Daphnia pulex: one gene and its partner. The protein of the gene in region 1 purifies or fractionates together with the protein of each later gene. This does not show direct contact. Links are inferred from orthologs where the notes say so. Each region holds a gene or a part of one and is shown in the gene's direction. Other genes may lie near its edges. The genes, in order: putative tRNA (cytidine(32)/guanosine(34)-2'-O)-methyltransferase and WD repeat-containing protein 6-like.

Region 1 (6,567 bases):
TTCATTTGCATTTCGGATTTACATTTACTGGAAACATTGGTATCGCCGAAAAGACAATTCAACTCTGTGGGTCCCACTCAAACCGCAGTTACATAATCATTTATGATGATGTAAATTATGGGAATGCTGAAGAAAATACTACTGGATTCATCCTTATTGTCAAAGAGATGCCAATGATGCCATGTGATGACCCTGACATCAGTGGTGCTGAAATGAGCACATTGAGCTCAAGTTTAATTGATGAGCAAGAACAACCACAAACAAAACGGCAAAAGTTTTGTGAAACTTCCTTTCTCTCAAAAGATCTGGGAACCAAACTGTCAAGTTCAATTGATGTGTGGATGAAAACTTATTACAAATGTAGTACTGCAAGTTCTGAATCTTTCATGTTACCGATGGTGAAGTTTGGTTCTAACAAATGGAAAATGGAAGTAAAGAATCCAAGTGATGGAGTTTTCCACACGAATGTTTATTCAATATCCATTTGGATAGATCTTGGAACCAGTACAATAATAGAAAAGAATCTGATCATTATGTCGAAGGGGCTGGCCGAAATGTTTTACAACCAACAATTATGCGACGTGCACTTCGACTTTAAAGACAGCCAGACTGTTGGTGCTCACGTTGTTATTCTATCGGCTGGCAGCCCAGTTTTCTCTGCTATGTTTCGATCTGAGTTTCTGGAATCAAAAACCAAAAAAGTGACCATCACTGACATTGACATTGAAGTGTTCCGGCAGCTCCTCATCTACCTGTACACGGGCAGCGCCCCCAAACTGGCCGAAGAAAACATGACGCAGTTGCTCTTCGAGGCCGCGGACAAATATAACATCGACAACCTCAAAACCGAATGCACCGATGCTTTGCTGAAACGTGTGAATCTCGACAATGCCATCCGTTTACTGGTTTGGTCTCATTTCCACTCAGTAGCAAAGCTTAAGGAAGCAACCTTGAAGTTTTTGGCAGCCAACAGTCTTGAAATCTGCTCCCAGCCGGAATGGATACATTTGATTAAAAACTACCCAGAATTGTGTCTGCTGGCTACGCAGCACATGTCAAAACTGCTCAACAACACCAGCAAAACTAACAAATCTGCCAATTATTATCATAATGACGTGGAACAAGGACTGGAGTATTAACGTGCACTTTTACAAGCGTGCATTACATGCTAAATCGACTTAATTTCATTTTTCCCTTTCGGATTTCAAGTGATAAACACGTAAAATTTTTGTGTTACCCCTTTACATATGTTAACTTCTCATTCGCGGTCAACCATTTTATTTAGTGTATTTGTTGTAGAAGTTTTACGCTTAAAATAAAAATGTAGAGGTTTATGTTTATGTAATTGTAAACTTCTTCGTCATTTTGCTATTGCATAGAATAGCTTTGTTAAGTGCTGAACTATTTTCATGGACTTTGTGTGAAGCTATTTCTAACCTTCCATGCACAAAAAAAATGTTTTATTTACACAGGAGTTGCATCAATTTATTTGCAGGTATGGGAGATTAATTATCATGTTTTTATTTGTAATGAAAATTTTAGAAGAAGAAGAATGCCCGCTGCCAAATCTCTCAGTGTTACTGTCAAAGTTCGTGATTTCTGATCTTGACTGGACTCCTACAAAAGCAATGGCATTCCTAGTTTGACCAACGCAATACTTTAACTTTGTAATTTTTTTTTTTTCATTTTTGTAACCAAGTTTCTTCAGTAAGGAAATCTTTCTCTAATACGAAACCAACCTGTCGACACTACGAATACGAAAATGCAAGATGTGTCTAAACTTACACAACTCACCGCTGTAGACGAAATGTGGAAAGCATGAAGAAGACATCCGCTTTAGGCTTGGTGGAATACTCCATTCAGAACCACACCATCATGAATATTTAAACCCACGAGTAAGTACAGGTAATTTACTGATATTTTACTTCGTAAAAAACACAAAACTGATATCGAGTTAATCGTCGAAAAATGCCATTTGACGATCCTCTCCTTCCAAGATAACAAATTTCCTGGAATTGTCGTCTATTCGTATTGATCTCATAGACACTAGGTAAAATTCTTGGTCTCTTTTCTTTTCTTCTATTCTTACTTTTGAAATGGGATTTAACTAACAAAATTTTCATTTATTTTTCAGATTGGGAAATATTGCTGCACTAGCTGCAGTATCAAAAAGTATGGCCTCTGCGAATCCGAAAATGCTTCTCATTTTGTGGCCCCAGTTTTTTCTATGGTGATGTTTCCAGCTCACATCATCCATGCCAGAAATGACTTAGTGAAGGTTGTATTTTTAGTAACTAGTCGAACTAGTCTACTCAGCCTTTATATTCAGTTCATTTGCCATTCGATATCAGCCTATATTTAAGCTTTGTTAGGGATTTTTGGCCTTCCAATTATTCTCAGGCGGCGAAAGAGACTCTACAAAGCATCGTCGGCAGCCGCCCAGACTGCAAAGAAAACTAGGAAGAAGGTCTACGCCGAAGGAATTCATTCTTGTTGGAGCGCCGTACATCATCGTCCCCCACAGATCGAATAGTGCCGACGCTATTATTATTGATATTTCCGGAATCTCACCTTGAAGAATGTGTTCCATCCGGACGAAGATTGCAACAAGATGTGTTCTCATGCTATCATGGATTCAATCAACTTAAATCTTCACTGAGAGTTTCGCATTTTTTGGGTTATCGCCAATCGGCCAATGTCATGAAAGTGAAACCAGAGGAAGGAGTCTATACCCAACCAACTACACAAACACACAAAAGAAGAAAATCGTCAATAGGCATGAATTGAAGAAGGCGTGTTGGGGCCCGTGGCTCGACCATCTGCTGCCGCGTAGCCGATTTTATCAGCATATCGTTGGAAGCCACGAAAAAGTAAGTCGAAAATTAATCTCTCATCAATGACGACAACATTGTCCGTTATACCATAGACTATACCGCTTGCGGTACAAGTTTGACATTTTCTTACTTTAAAAAACACTTTCTCCTTCCCATCCTATTTAAAAAAATTAACGACCATTCATTTATTGTTGGATATGTCCGCAAATATTCCTAGGAGTTGTCACGTCTGTCGTCCTCCACTCTTTTTGTATCCGGATGGAATTGTTATATCAGAGCATCCCTGCTGCTGCCTCCTCCGCCATCACTTTCTTCTTGGTCTTCTGTCATTTTCACTGCCGTTGTCTTCCGCATGTTACGCTAAAAAAGATTCTCTGTCTTGTGTCTACACAGTCAAATTTTCAGACAAATTTCCGTCTTCAGTTAATTTAACAACGTTAACCAACACGTCATAGTTAACCAATCGTTAGAGTCGTCTGCTAACATTGCACCATTTGTTTTGTATCCTTGCATGCTGTCACTCAGTGTCTCAGTCTTCTTGAAAAGTCTGCTGGAAACGTGTTGTATCGAGACTTTGTTATCAAAATTTCGTCGTATCGTCAACAATATAATAATGGGAAAAACCTCAAAAGATAAACGAGACGTTTATTACAGATTGGCTAAAGAAGAAGGATGGAGGGCTCGTTCGGCTTTCAAACTACTACAAATTGATGAAGAATTTCGTATATTCGAAGGTATGTTAAAAGTGTATGGATATTTGGTATTTTATATTGATTCTTGTTCTTTTTAAGGAGTTAAAAATGCAGTGGACCTCTGTGCAGCTCCAGGCAGTTGGAGCCAAGTGTTAACCAGAAAGTTACATAACAAAGATGAAAATGTTTCTGCTAAAATTGTCGCTGTAGATTTGCAAGCGATGGCACCTTTACCTGGTGTCATTCAAATTCAAGGTGACATCACACAGTTATCTACAGCAGAAAAAATTATTTCCTATTTTGAAGGGGAAAAGGCAGATTTGGTTGTCTGTGACGGTGCACCAGATGGTATTTATAGCTGACTTCATGGGTTTACTTGCTAATTTGACTAAATGCTATCAATTTTCAGTTACTGGATTGCATGACATTGATGAATATGTCCAAGCCCAACTGCTTTTAGCAGCCTTAAACATCACCACTCATGTTCTCAAGGATGGTGGGATTTTTGTTGCCAAAATCTTCAGGGGACGAGATATTACATTGCTTTACTCACAGCTTAGAATATTTTTCCCTAAAGTCACCGTGGCAAAACCAATGAGTTCCAGGAATTCAAGTATAGGTATGTATATGGTGGGAGCATATATTTTACAATGTAATAACTATTATTTTCCCTTTTTGCAGAGGCATTTGTTGTCTGTCAGAATTATTCTCCTCCAAGTGGCTACATCCCAAATATGTCAAATCCTCTGTTGGACCACCAATATTGTGACTGGAATGAATGGGAAGGTCCTAACAGAGTGATAGTGCCCTTTTTGGCATGCGGTGATCTCAGTGCGTACGACTCTGACATGAGCTATCCTTTGGACGCAGAATATAAATTCCGGTAATAAAACGGATGTCGTTATGACGACGAAACATGAAAATGTATGGCTTTATTCATAAAACATATTTCTTTTTTTAATTTATAGACCACCAACACAAACTCCGATAAATCCACCGTACCAAGAAGCCGTTTGCATAAGGAAACAAGATCAATTAGCAAAGCCTGCAGTGGATCAGCTTACCAAAATGGAATCTCTTGAATTGAAGGAATAGATAGTAGTTTACTTCGTCACGACAAATGCTGAAGAAATATCGTTTGTTGCAACATTTTTCATTGCTGTTGTATTTTCTAGTAGATGATTATGCCTCTAACTAATCATTCAAATATTAATCATCTACCAGAAAATATAACATTTAATAAACAACAAAGGAGGACTTGGTCTATGCAATCGTGCAATTTCTCGTTATTTCATTGAAACAACAGTTCTTAAGATGAATTATGTCAACTCAACTGACAATTTTTTTTATTAAATTTTCAAACAAGGTTTACATAAAAAATATAAGCACCAGTACCGATGCTCACCTAAAATTGAAATTTTAACTAACTAATGATGGAGTGATTAAGGCTATTTTAGGTTTATGTATTTGGCTGGCCTGGTTGGTGTAATTATTTCATACAAAAACAACATTTCTATTTTCTAGTTCCATTCCATCTGATCTCATGATCTGTAATCTTATTTTGTATTTCGAAAAATCTTGTAGTACCGTAGTAAAATTTTTTTTTTAATTCTATAATTTAAAATAGTATTTGCTAAAATAGAATAAAAACAATAAAAATTTGAAAAAGAAATTTAACAAAAACCGCAAAAACGTTACAAAATAAGCAAAATCACCATTTTGAAAAATATGGCAATGTTGCATTTCAAACCGTTAGGTATTTGAAGAACTCGAGCCTCCAACAATTTGAATGTTGCCTGCTGCAACTGTTAAAAGCCTCCCTTGAACGAGAGAAGACGTTCGTGGTGACCGTTGGTCCGAAAGTTTTTAATTTAACCGCCAATCTATTCGAGAATTATTTTACACACTGTCTTGATTGAAAAGACGAGCATTTTTAACCCCCATTCTATTTTATTTCATTTGATCGGTGTCGATTTTAATTACGAATTTCAAAATGAATTCCAATAAGCCAGTACCTGAACCTGAAATCATCCCTGATATTCTTCTTGATCCTGGCACCAAAAAACGTTACGTGAGAGGCAAATTTCTTGGAAAGGTAAGAGAAAAGTTGAAGCAATGTAACTTAGCAATTGAAATAACAAATGGCTTTCAAATTGATTGAATAACTAGGGTGGGTTTGCCAAATGCTATGAGCTCACAGACAGCGCTACCAACCAGATCTTCGCTGGCAAAATAGTTTCCAAGCATCTTCTGCAAAAGCAGCACCAGAAGGATAAGATGGCCCAGGAGATTTCTATTCATCGCTCGCTGGTCCATAAACACGTTGTTGGATTTTACAGTTTTTTTGAGGACAGTAACTTTGTCTTCATTGTTTTGGAGCTTTGCAAAAGAAGGGTAAGTGCCATACCATTTCATTTGTTTTTCGAATTAGTTTTTTCAATGTTGTGTTACTTTTTTAAGAGTCTCATGGAGTTGCACAAAAGAAGAAAGGCGATCACTGAACCTGAAGCTCGGTGCTTCATGCACCAACTTCTTCTTGGTGTTAAGCATCTCCACGAACACAAGATAATACACAGAGACTTGAAACTGGGTAATATTTTCCTCAATGAAGACATGGAGCTCAAGATTGGAGACTTTGGCCTTGCAACAAAGTTAGATTTTGATGGCGAAAGGAAAAAGTAAGATATTTTGTGCTCACTGTTTGTAAGCTTTTCTAAATGTTTTATCTACTTTACTGTTGATAGGACTCTGTGTGGCACTCCCAACTACATTGCACCCGAAGTTTTGTGCAAAAAAGGCCACAGTTATGAAGTGGATATTTGGTCTATGGGCTGCATTTTGTAAGTTTCATGTTAAATAAATGGTGTTGGAATGTTTATTTACTTTCTTTGCAATCCCTAGATACACTTTATTGGTTGGGCATCCTCCCTTTGAAACACAGTCGCTCAAGGATACCTACAGCAAAATCAAAAAGAATGAGTTTCATGTTCCGTCTCGTATTGGTCCTCTGGCTCGTACTCTTATCATCAAAATGCTTCAAG
Region 2 (6,996 bases), on another chromosome or scaffold:
TCTTAGTAACACTTTGCTTAAAGAAAACAAATTGTTACGACTGACGAAATTCATCTTTGTTCGAAAAAGTCCAACCCTTTTTAAATAATGAAGGTCAATGACGATTTAATAACAAAATACCTCGAAATGGATTAAAATAATCCAAGTCGCGGCATGTTTATCGACAGAAAAGTTTGAACTAGGGGAATCTCGCGCCAGAAAGTGGTGCAAGCAAAAGGGTGGTCGTATACCTGGATTGGCCGTATGGGCAGGCGGTCTGATAAGTGGACCAGCACTGTAACGATAATCACTCCACTTCAGACACAAATGTACAGTCCTTCGGTTATTTCAGTCAATTACATCCTTGGTGGATTAATTCGAATTTTGCTTGCTCTATTTCATTCTTCAATTCTTCATGACAAGTCACCCTGATAAGTAATGAAGTCGTTAAAGTTTTGCTCAAGCGTTTGCTTTGTAGAGATAAAGAAAATGATAAAAGCAGATTTTGATTTCGATATATATTTCCAATGCACGCAAGGTGTGTTCAACACGGGAGAAATAACATAACAAATGAAGTCATCTGATATTTAACATTATTGATACTATCTTTTCAGCTCTAGACAATTTTGATGCGTCAGCTGTTTTATGTAGACTGAAGTACGAATTATGTTGAATACGACGAGGGAACTGGATAATTTAAAAATTGTGCTTTTGATGATAAAGGAAAATGGTGAAATTAATTCAGATTTAATCTTTCAATTTTTCGAAAATTGAAAGTGAATTGACTTAAATGAGTAGAAATTATAACTCGCATTAGGATCTCACCTCTTAAACTTTAAACTGTTGAAAGTCAAAAGCGTTTGGTGTTAAAAAGTCCTCGAATTTGGGGAAACTAAAAAAATCTTCATTGGGTCCTTTGTTGCTTTCTGGGTAGTTTGGATCCTGGTTGTAAGATGTAGGATATTGAGGCTCGGCCGGGGGAGAATAAGGAGCTTCTTCGTAGGCTGGAGGTGAATAATCCTGTGGTTTGTAGGCAGGAGCTTCGGAATAAGCAGGAGCTTCGTAGTTTGGTGACTGCGGTGGTGGATAAGGAGCCTCAGTGCTGTGAGCTGGTGGGCTGTATTCCTCTGGTTGTTGGTAAGCAGGGGCCTCTGGGTAAGCTGGTGGAGAGTAAGCAGGAGCCTCTGGATAAGCTGGTGGAGAGTAAGCAGGAGCCTCTGGGTAAGCTGGTGGAGAGTACGCAGGAGCCTCTGGGTAAACGGAAGGCGTCGGAGCTTTGTAACTAGGGACGTACGGAGGAGAGTAAGGAGCTTCAGTGTAAACGGGAGCTGGAGGGCTGTAAGAAGGTGGGCTGTAAGATGGTGGGCTGTAAGAAGGTGGGCTATAAGCAGGGGGGCTATAAGCAGGGGGGCTATAAGCAGGGGGGCTGTATGCAGGAGGGCTATAAGCAGGGGGGCTATAAGCAGGGGGGCTATAAGCTGGAGGGCTGTATGCAGGAGGGCTATAAGCAGGAGGGCTGTATTCTGATGGACTGTAAGCCTGTTGATTGTAGGATGGCTCTGGTTGACTATGCGCTGGAGCTTTGTAGTTTGGCTTGGGTGCTCCGTATTGGGCTTTTGGTGGTCCGTATTGGGGCTTAGGGGCGCCGTATTGAGCTTTAGGAGCGCCGTATTGAGCTTTAGGAGCACCATACTGTGGTTTTGGCGCTCCGTAGCTTGGTTTTTTCTTATGTTTGTCAGATTTTAAAAACCCGAAAATTCTGCTCTCCTGTTCCTGTTGTCCGCTACTGCGCACATATGTCAAGTTCCTCAAACCAACATTCGACTTTTGTTCAACTTTTTTTCCAGTGGTCTCCGCCGCTAAATTGCCATCGAATCCGACAACTGCAAGCGCCAGCAGTGACAGCAGGATAGAGGCGAAGATCTGTACAGCGTAATCAAATTAAAATGATCAACTGAATGAATTAATTTCTGAAAATAATTTCCGCGATTGAAACTGAATGAAGCAAAAATTTACCTTTGATGCTCCGTGTCTCATGTTGATTAGGATGTAAGTTTTCTTAATAGTCAATGTTATACTTGATTTCTTTCACGAAGAAGCTACACTGAAGTGAAGCTCGAGAACTTGAGATGAGAACACTGATGCAAATTTGAGAAGAATGACTCCAATTTATATCAGTAGATAAACTCCGCCTTCCTTGAAACAAGCCGTCGCCCATCTTCACAAAACACAAACTCATCCTTTGTTATTTGAGTCGCGGGTGACGTGTTTCTGACTTTCCCTGGAGCGATCGTATATTGTGTGGTTTATATTACTGGTTTGAGCTACTAACCTGGTCTGGCTGTTGTCTTATTGCATTACCGCTGATGGCTTTGAATCAGCCAAAAAATGGCGGGGCCTAGACGGTGATTGATCGCCAAATTGGCAAAACAGTGACCGCAGGAAAGTGTGAAGAAATTCGGAAGATTCCACCAATCCAATTTACCAACAACAGCTCAATTCGGATGAAAATTCGTTCCACTGCAAAGCACAATCCCGAACTGAGAAAGTGGAATGTAGCGTATTCTGCGAGCATCAATTCCGTTGTCACGATTTCGGAAAAAACCCACACGGCACTCTCTTATTTATAACCAAAATAGAAATTCAACTACTAAGATATTATACTGGTAGCTTGATTCTCGTATTCAATTAATATCCGACAATACGGAAGTTGACGATTCGGCACACATGAGAAACACATTCCGTATAATACGATATACATGCTTATTAGTAATTGCTGTCTGAAATAGGTTATCGATAAACTCGACAGGTAAATCTCTGAAGGACTGAATTTTCCAGGTTCATTGACCTTCTTTCCCAAGACCATTGCGGTTACACTAATGAAGGAAGGAAGTAAAAACCGTTTGAAATTGCCGCGGAAGTAATTTGTTTATACAACATCACCACCTATGAATGAAGGTAGGAACCTGCTAGCAGACGAAAGGTATTTTTCACGTGCTCGCTACTATTTACATCCATCAGTTTTATTTAGCACGAATTTTTGGAGGGAAGTGAAGCAGAATCATGGTACTAAAGAAATTATATTTACAAACGCATGTTACTGCTTTGTGTACCGTTGAACCTCATTTTTTATTAGAAGGTGTGTATAAAATGAAGTAAAATTCCGTTCTATTTAACAGTGTTGTTTATGAACTGCAGGTTGCGGAGGCTTTATAAACCTTTATGACTTCGACTCTAACGAGCTTTTGGAAAGCCTCGACATATTTCGAGGTGCCAGAATTCATGGTATTCGATATTCACTGCATAATAAAACAGTGATTGTTTTCGGTGGAAAGCTGTTTGCACTGGTGTCATTCAACGATTCTAAAACTGCTCTACCGAGGTTAATTGCTACATAAAAATGTAAATTTAGCTGGTTGCTATAACATTTCATCAGATTGAAACTTTTACAGAAATCCAATGAAGCTGACTGGATAAGGGATGCTAAATTTGTAAATAATGGGGATTATCTTGTCAAATTAACTTCTCACAACAAAGTTATCATCGAAAAAACGTCTTCTGAAGCAGAAACTGTTGAAGTACAAGGAGATGAACAGTGCATATTGTAAGTAGTGATGAATGCTGTTTGTAGGTTCCTTATTATTAACTTTACGTTCTACTCAGATACTGTGGCAAAATTCTGGGCGAAGATCTTTCACAGTTGACCATTCTGGCAGGGACTGTATTTGGCAACATCCTTGTTTGGGCAGCCTCACCATCTCAACAGAATAAATGTCTCTTCCACAGATTAACTGGTCACAATGTAAATCTATAGCTCTAAATTTAGTTTACTGTAAAGTCGTGCTAATATTTTTATTGCTATTGCTGTCTCTTGCAGGGTGTCATCTTCTCTATAAATTATGACGAAGTTTCGCACACTATCATATCAACGTCAGACGATAGATCTGTTCGTTTTTGGAGTCTCCAATGCGAAGACGAAGTGCCAAACAAATTGAGCCTCTGGAGTTTATTTCAACGATCGAAAATTCATCCCCAAAACGAACTTTATGGTCATGAAGCCCGTGTTTGGAACAGTGTCATAATCCGTCAAAATCAGTGTGATTCGGGACTGGTAGCCAGTTTGGGTGAAGACTCCCGTATTTGTTTGTGGGATTTGACGAGCGGCAAATTGGTATCCAAGTTTGATGCTCACCCTGGAACCAGTGTATGGGCTGCCGTGTGGGATTCACGACTCCAATTATTGGTTCGTTATTTTGACAGGCAAATACGAGTTTCGCTTAATGTATTCATGAATTTGTTTATTCTCAGGTAACTGCTGGAGGAGAAGGTTCGACACGAATCTGGAACGCCAATCATTTACAGGAAACGAGCTGTCGTCAGCTCCAGCTCACCGAAGACGGCCAAGTTCCACGTTTAGTGATCGTTACATCCACGGGTTACTACCGCCACTTGGTGGCCAGTCAGCTGGGCATCATTTACGGATGGGATAGTCACGCCCAGATTTGGGTCTCCCTCTTTCAGGACGAGGGACTCGGCAACGGCAGCGTCTTGGATTCCGACGGTCGGACGATTATATTTGGAACGCGTACCGGAGCTGTGTTCGTGTTCGCTTCCGGCCCGTCGTCCTTGGAACTGCTGGCGACCCATCAGCTGGAAAAGACGAAAATTTATAGCCTGCATTTGGTCGCATCGCAGCAGCAAGAGTTTATGGCCTGTCTCGATAACGGTCGTCTGCTGCTTATGAATGTACTCGGCGGCAGCGAGTCACCACCCAGGGCCCAATTTATTCTCCCCGACGGCAAACAGCGATGGCCCAGCTGTGTTCTGGCCACCCAAAATCGATTCATGATGGGCGATCGTGAAGGGAGCTTTCATCTTTATTCGACCGAAAAAGAGGTTGGTTTTTCGGGGATTTTTACGACCTCCGACAAACAGTTACAAATCGAGAAATGATTTCTGATAATAATCAACATTTATTACTTTATTTTAGACTCCGCTTCAATCTTTTTCGCATATCCATGGCAAGAATGGCTTGACTGACATTCAGAGCGATCCGAACGGCCAACATCTTTATTACACCGGAGGAAGAGACGGTCGAATCGGTCTCTGGCGGTTAACCGACGACCAGAATCAACTGGAACTTTTGTCACTTACTAACACCAGTCTCGGTTGGATTGCCGGCTTGCGATGGATCGACCAGCAGTTAACATACCTGGCCTTTCAGAGCGTAAGTACCTACTTATCCATATGGAAATTTTGAAAAAAATCTATAATCAATTCAAATTTGATGCAATATTTTGTATTGTGTCTATCCAAATTTATTCAGGATCGGTTCGTTGTGTGGTCGAGTGAGCAACAGCGGAGTCTCATGCAAGTGCCTTGCGGGGGAGGCCACCGATCATGGGACTTTGACGTGACGTCGTCTGATGTCACTTTCCTGTTCATCAAGGACAGACACATTTACGAGAATCGACGTCCATTGAGCGCCGTTTTCAACTCGTCGCTGCCTGGACGCTGCGGAGGGCACAGCAAATCGATTTGCCGTGGCAGGTTCGTCGGATTCCACGACGACTCGCCGCTCGTCTTGACTGGAAGTGAAGACACGACGATGAGACTGTCGCGATTGGATCGGCGTTCCGCCCAATCGCTGACCGTCATAACCAAACACGTTTCCAGCGTCCGAGCCCTGGCCGTCAAGGAACTGGCATGTAGGTCTGCAGGGACGTGGCTGTGTGTTTCAGCCGGCGGCAGAGCCCAGTTATCGGTCGGATTACTGACACTATCTGGCCAGGGCGATCAAGTGCACGTCATTCACCGTGACGTGCGTTCGCATTTCTTGCGCGGTTGGCTCCGCCGGGCGGCCACCAATAAGCCCTGGATTCACGGCAGCGATCAGCTGTCGCTCATCCCCGACCCTGAAACCCGCTACATGGACGTCGATGTGGTAGACCGTGGCGACAGCAATTTCCATATTATCGCCGCCTGCTCCGATAGCTTTATAAGGTTTGTCTCGTACATTTGTTGCGTGCATTGAAATTTTTCACTTTTTTTGTTTGTTGTTCCAAATGTTTAAAACAAAAAATTCTACTGTCACATTTTCATTTTTTTTTCCAGGATTTTTTATCTATCCCTGGAGGGTGGCCGGTTAGACTTGTTTCACGAACTCAACTTCCACAATTGCTGCGTCTTGCTGGTCAAAGTGGTGGCCGATCCGGATGGCAATACCATCCTTTTCTCCGCCGGAACAGATGGCCGGCTGGCTGTGTGGGACGTAACAGTTGTGGAAGAAGATAAGGCCATGGATCCCTTGGACAGCCTGTCCATTCATCAATCGGGCATTAATAGTTTGGACTGCCAATGGATCGACCTTAATCGCATGCTGGTTCTGACTGGGGGCGACGATAACGCTCTGATCTGCACCAAAGTGGAAATCAGCTGCGAAAGGAATTTACTGCGATTAATCGATCAGCAAAAGCTGTTCCCCCACGCAGCCCAAATCTCCGGTAACTTATTGCCGATATTGTTTGTTTTTTTTTCACTTTGAATGTTGTTTGCTGATAACTTTTAAATTGGTTACAGGAGTAGCTCTGCTGGGTCACAACTTGTGTTTAAGCGTGTCACTGGACCAGCGTCTGATCCTCTGGAAGCGAGAGGACACTCGACTTATGTGGCAGTCGGCCGTTTGCTGCGACGTCTCCGACATTCAAGGGCTGCATGTGTCCGCGGGTGCCACTAAAACTTTGTCCAAAGTCCTGGTTTATGGTCAAGGTATTCAAGTCTTTGAAGTGGACGACGACTCGTTAAACATCGCCCACACGATTTAGACTATTCATCTGTCGACCCGTTCTAACCAACTAAGGTAAAAAAGAAAAAAAATACAACATATTATTTTCTTCTTTGCACGGCACCTTTTACATCACTCTTGTCTTGGTAGTTTTAGATTATTTTGTTGTGAAATTATTTTGACGACCAAATCGCGCTACCGTTGTGAGCCGGTGATTTCAGATTTCACCTGTT

Evidence for each region.
Region 2: the proteins of putative tRNA (cytidine(32)/guanosine(34)-2'-O)-methyltransferase (region 1) and WD repeat-containing protein 6-like purify together in Homo sapiens (affinity purification with mass spectrometry; 3 studies listed by BioGRID and IntAct, with this or other methods). This does not show direct contact. The link is inferred for Daphnia pulex from reciprocal best matches to the Homo sapiens genes FTSJ1 and WDR6.

Annotation. Positions count from the first base shown.
Region 1 is NC_060025.1:8,047,435-8,054,001, reverse strand, and holds putative tRNA (cytidine(32)/guanosine(34)-2'-O)-methyltransferase, read left to right. Parts: upstream 1-3,328; 5' UTR 3,329-3,345; coding exon 3,346-3,568; intron 3,569-3,625; coding exon 3,626-3,874; intron 3,875-3,935; coding exon 3,936-4,145; intron 4,146-4,207; coding exon 4,208-4,409; intron 4,410-4,494; coding exon 4,495-4,621; 3' UTR 4,622-4,797; downstream 4,798-6,567. Other genes in the region: serine/threonine-protein kinase PLK1-like, read left to right, coding at 5,520-5,621, 5,696-5,920, 5,987-6,204, 6,271-6,366, 6,428-6,567. UniProt on the Homo sapiens protein: Methylates the 2'-O-ribose of nucleotides at positions 32 and 34 of the tRNA anticodon loop of substrate tRNAs. Requisite for faithful cytoplasmic translation.
Region 2 is NC_060026.1:12,995,784-13,002,779, forward strand, and holds the start of WD repeat-containing protein 6-like, read left to right. Parts: upstream 1-2,816; 5' UTR 2,817-2,937; intron 2,938-2,971; exon of another isoform or gene 2,972-3,010; 5' UTR 3,011-3,042; coding exon 3,043-3,118; intron 3,119-3,177; coding exon 3,178-3,361; intron 3,362-3,415; coding exon 3,416-3,583; intron 3,584-3,642; coding exon 3,643-3,781; intron 3,782-3,856; coding exon 3,857-4,222; intron 4,223-4,287; coding exon 4,288-4,875; intron 4,876-4,969; coding exon 4,970-5,206; intron 5,207-5,305; coding exon 5,306-5,982; intron 5,983-6,093; coding exon 6,094-6,482; intron 6,483-6,558; coding exon 6,559-6,803; 3' UTR 6,804-6,838; intron 6,839-6,913; exon of another isoform or gene 6,914-6,996. Other genes in the region: repetitive proline-rich cell wall protein 1-like, read right to left, coding at 808-1,902, 1,996-2,016. UniProt on the Homo sapiens protein: Together with methyltransferase FTSJ1, methylates the 2'-O-ribose of nucleotides at position 34 of the tRNA anticodon loop of substrate tRNAs. Required for the correct positioning of the substrate tRNA for methylation.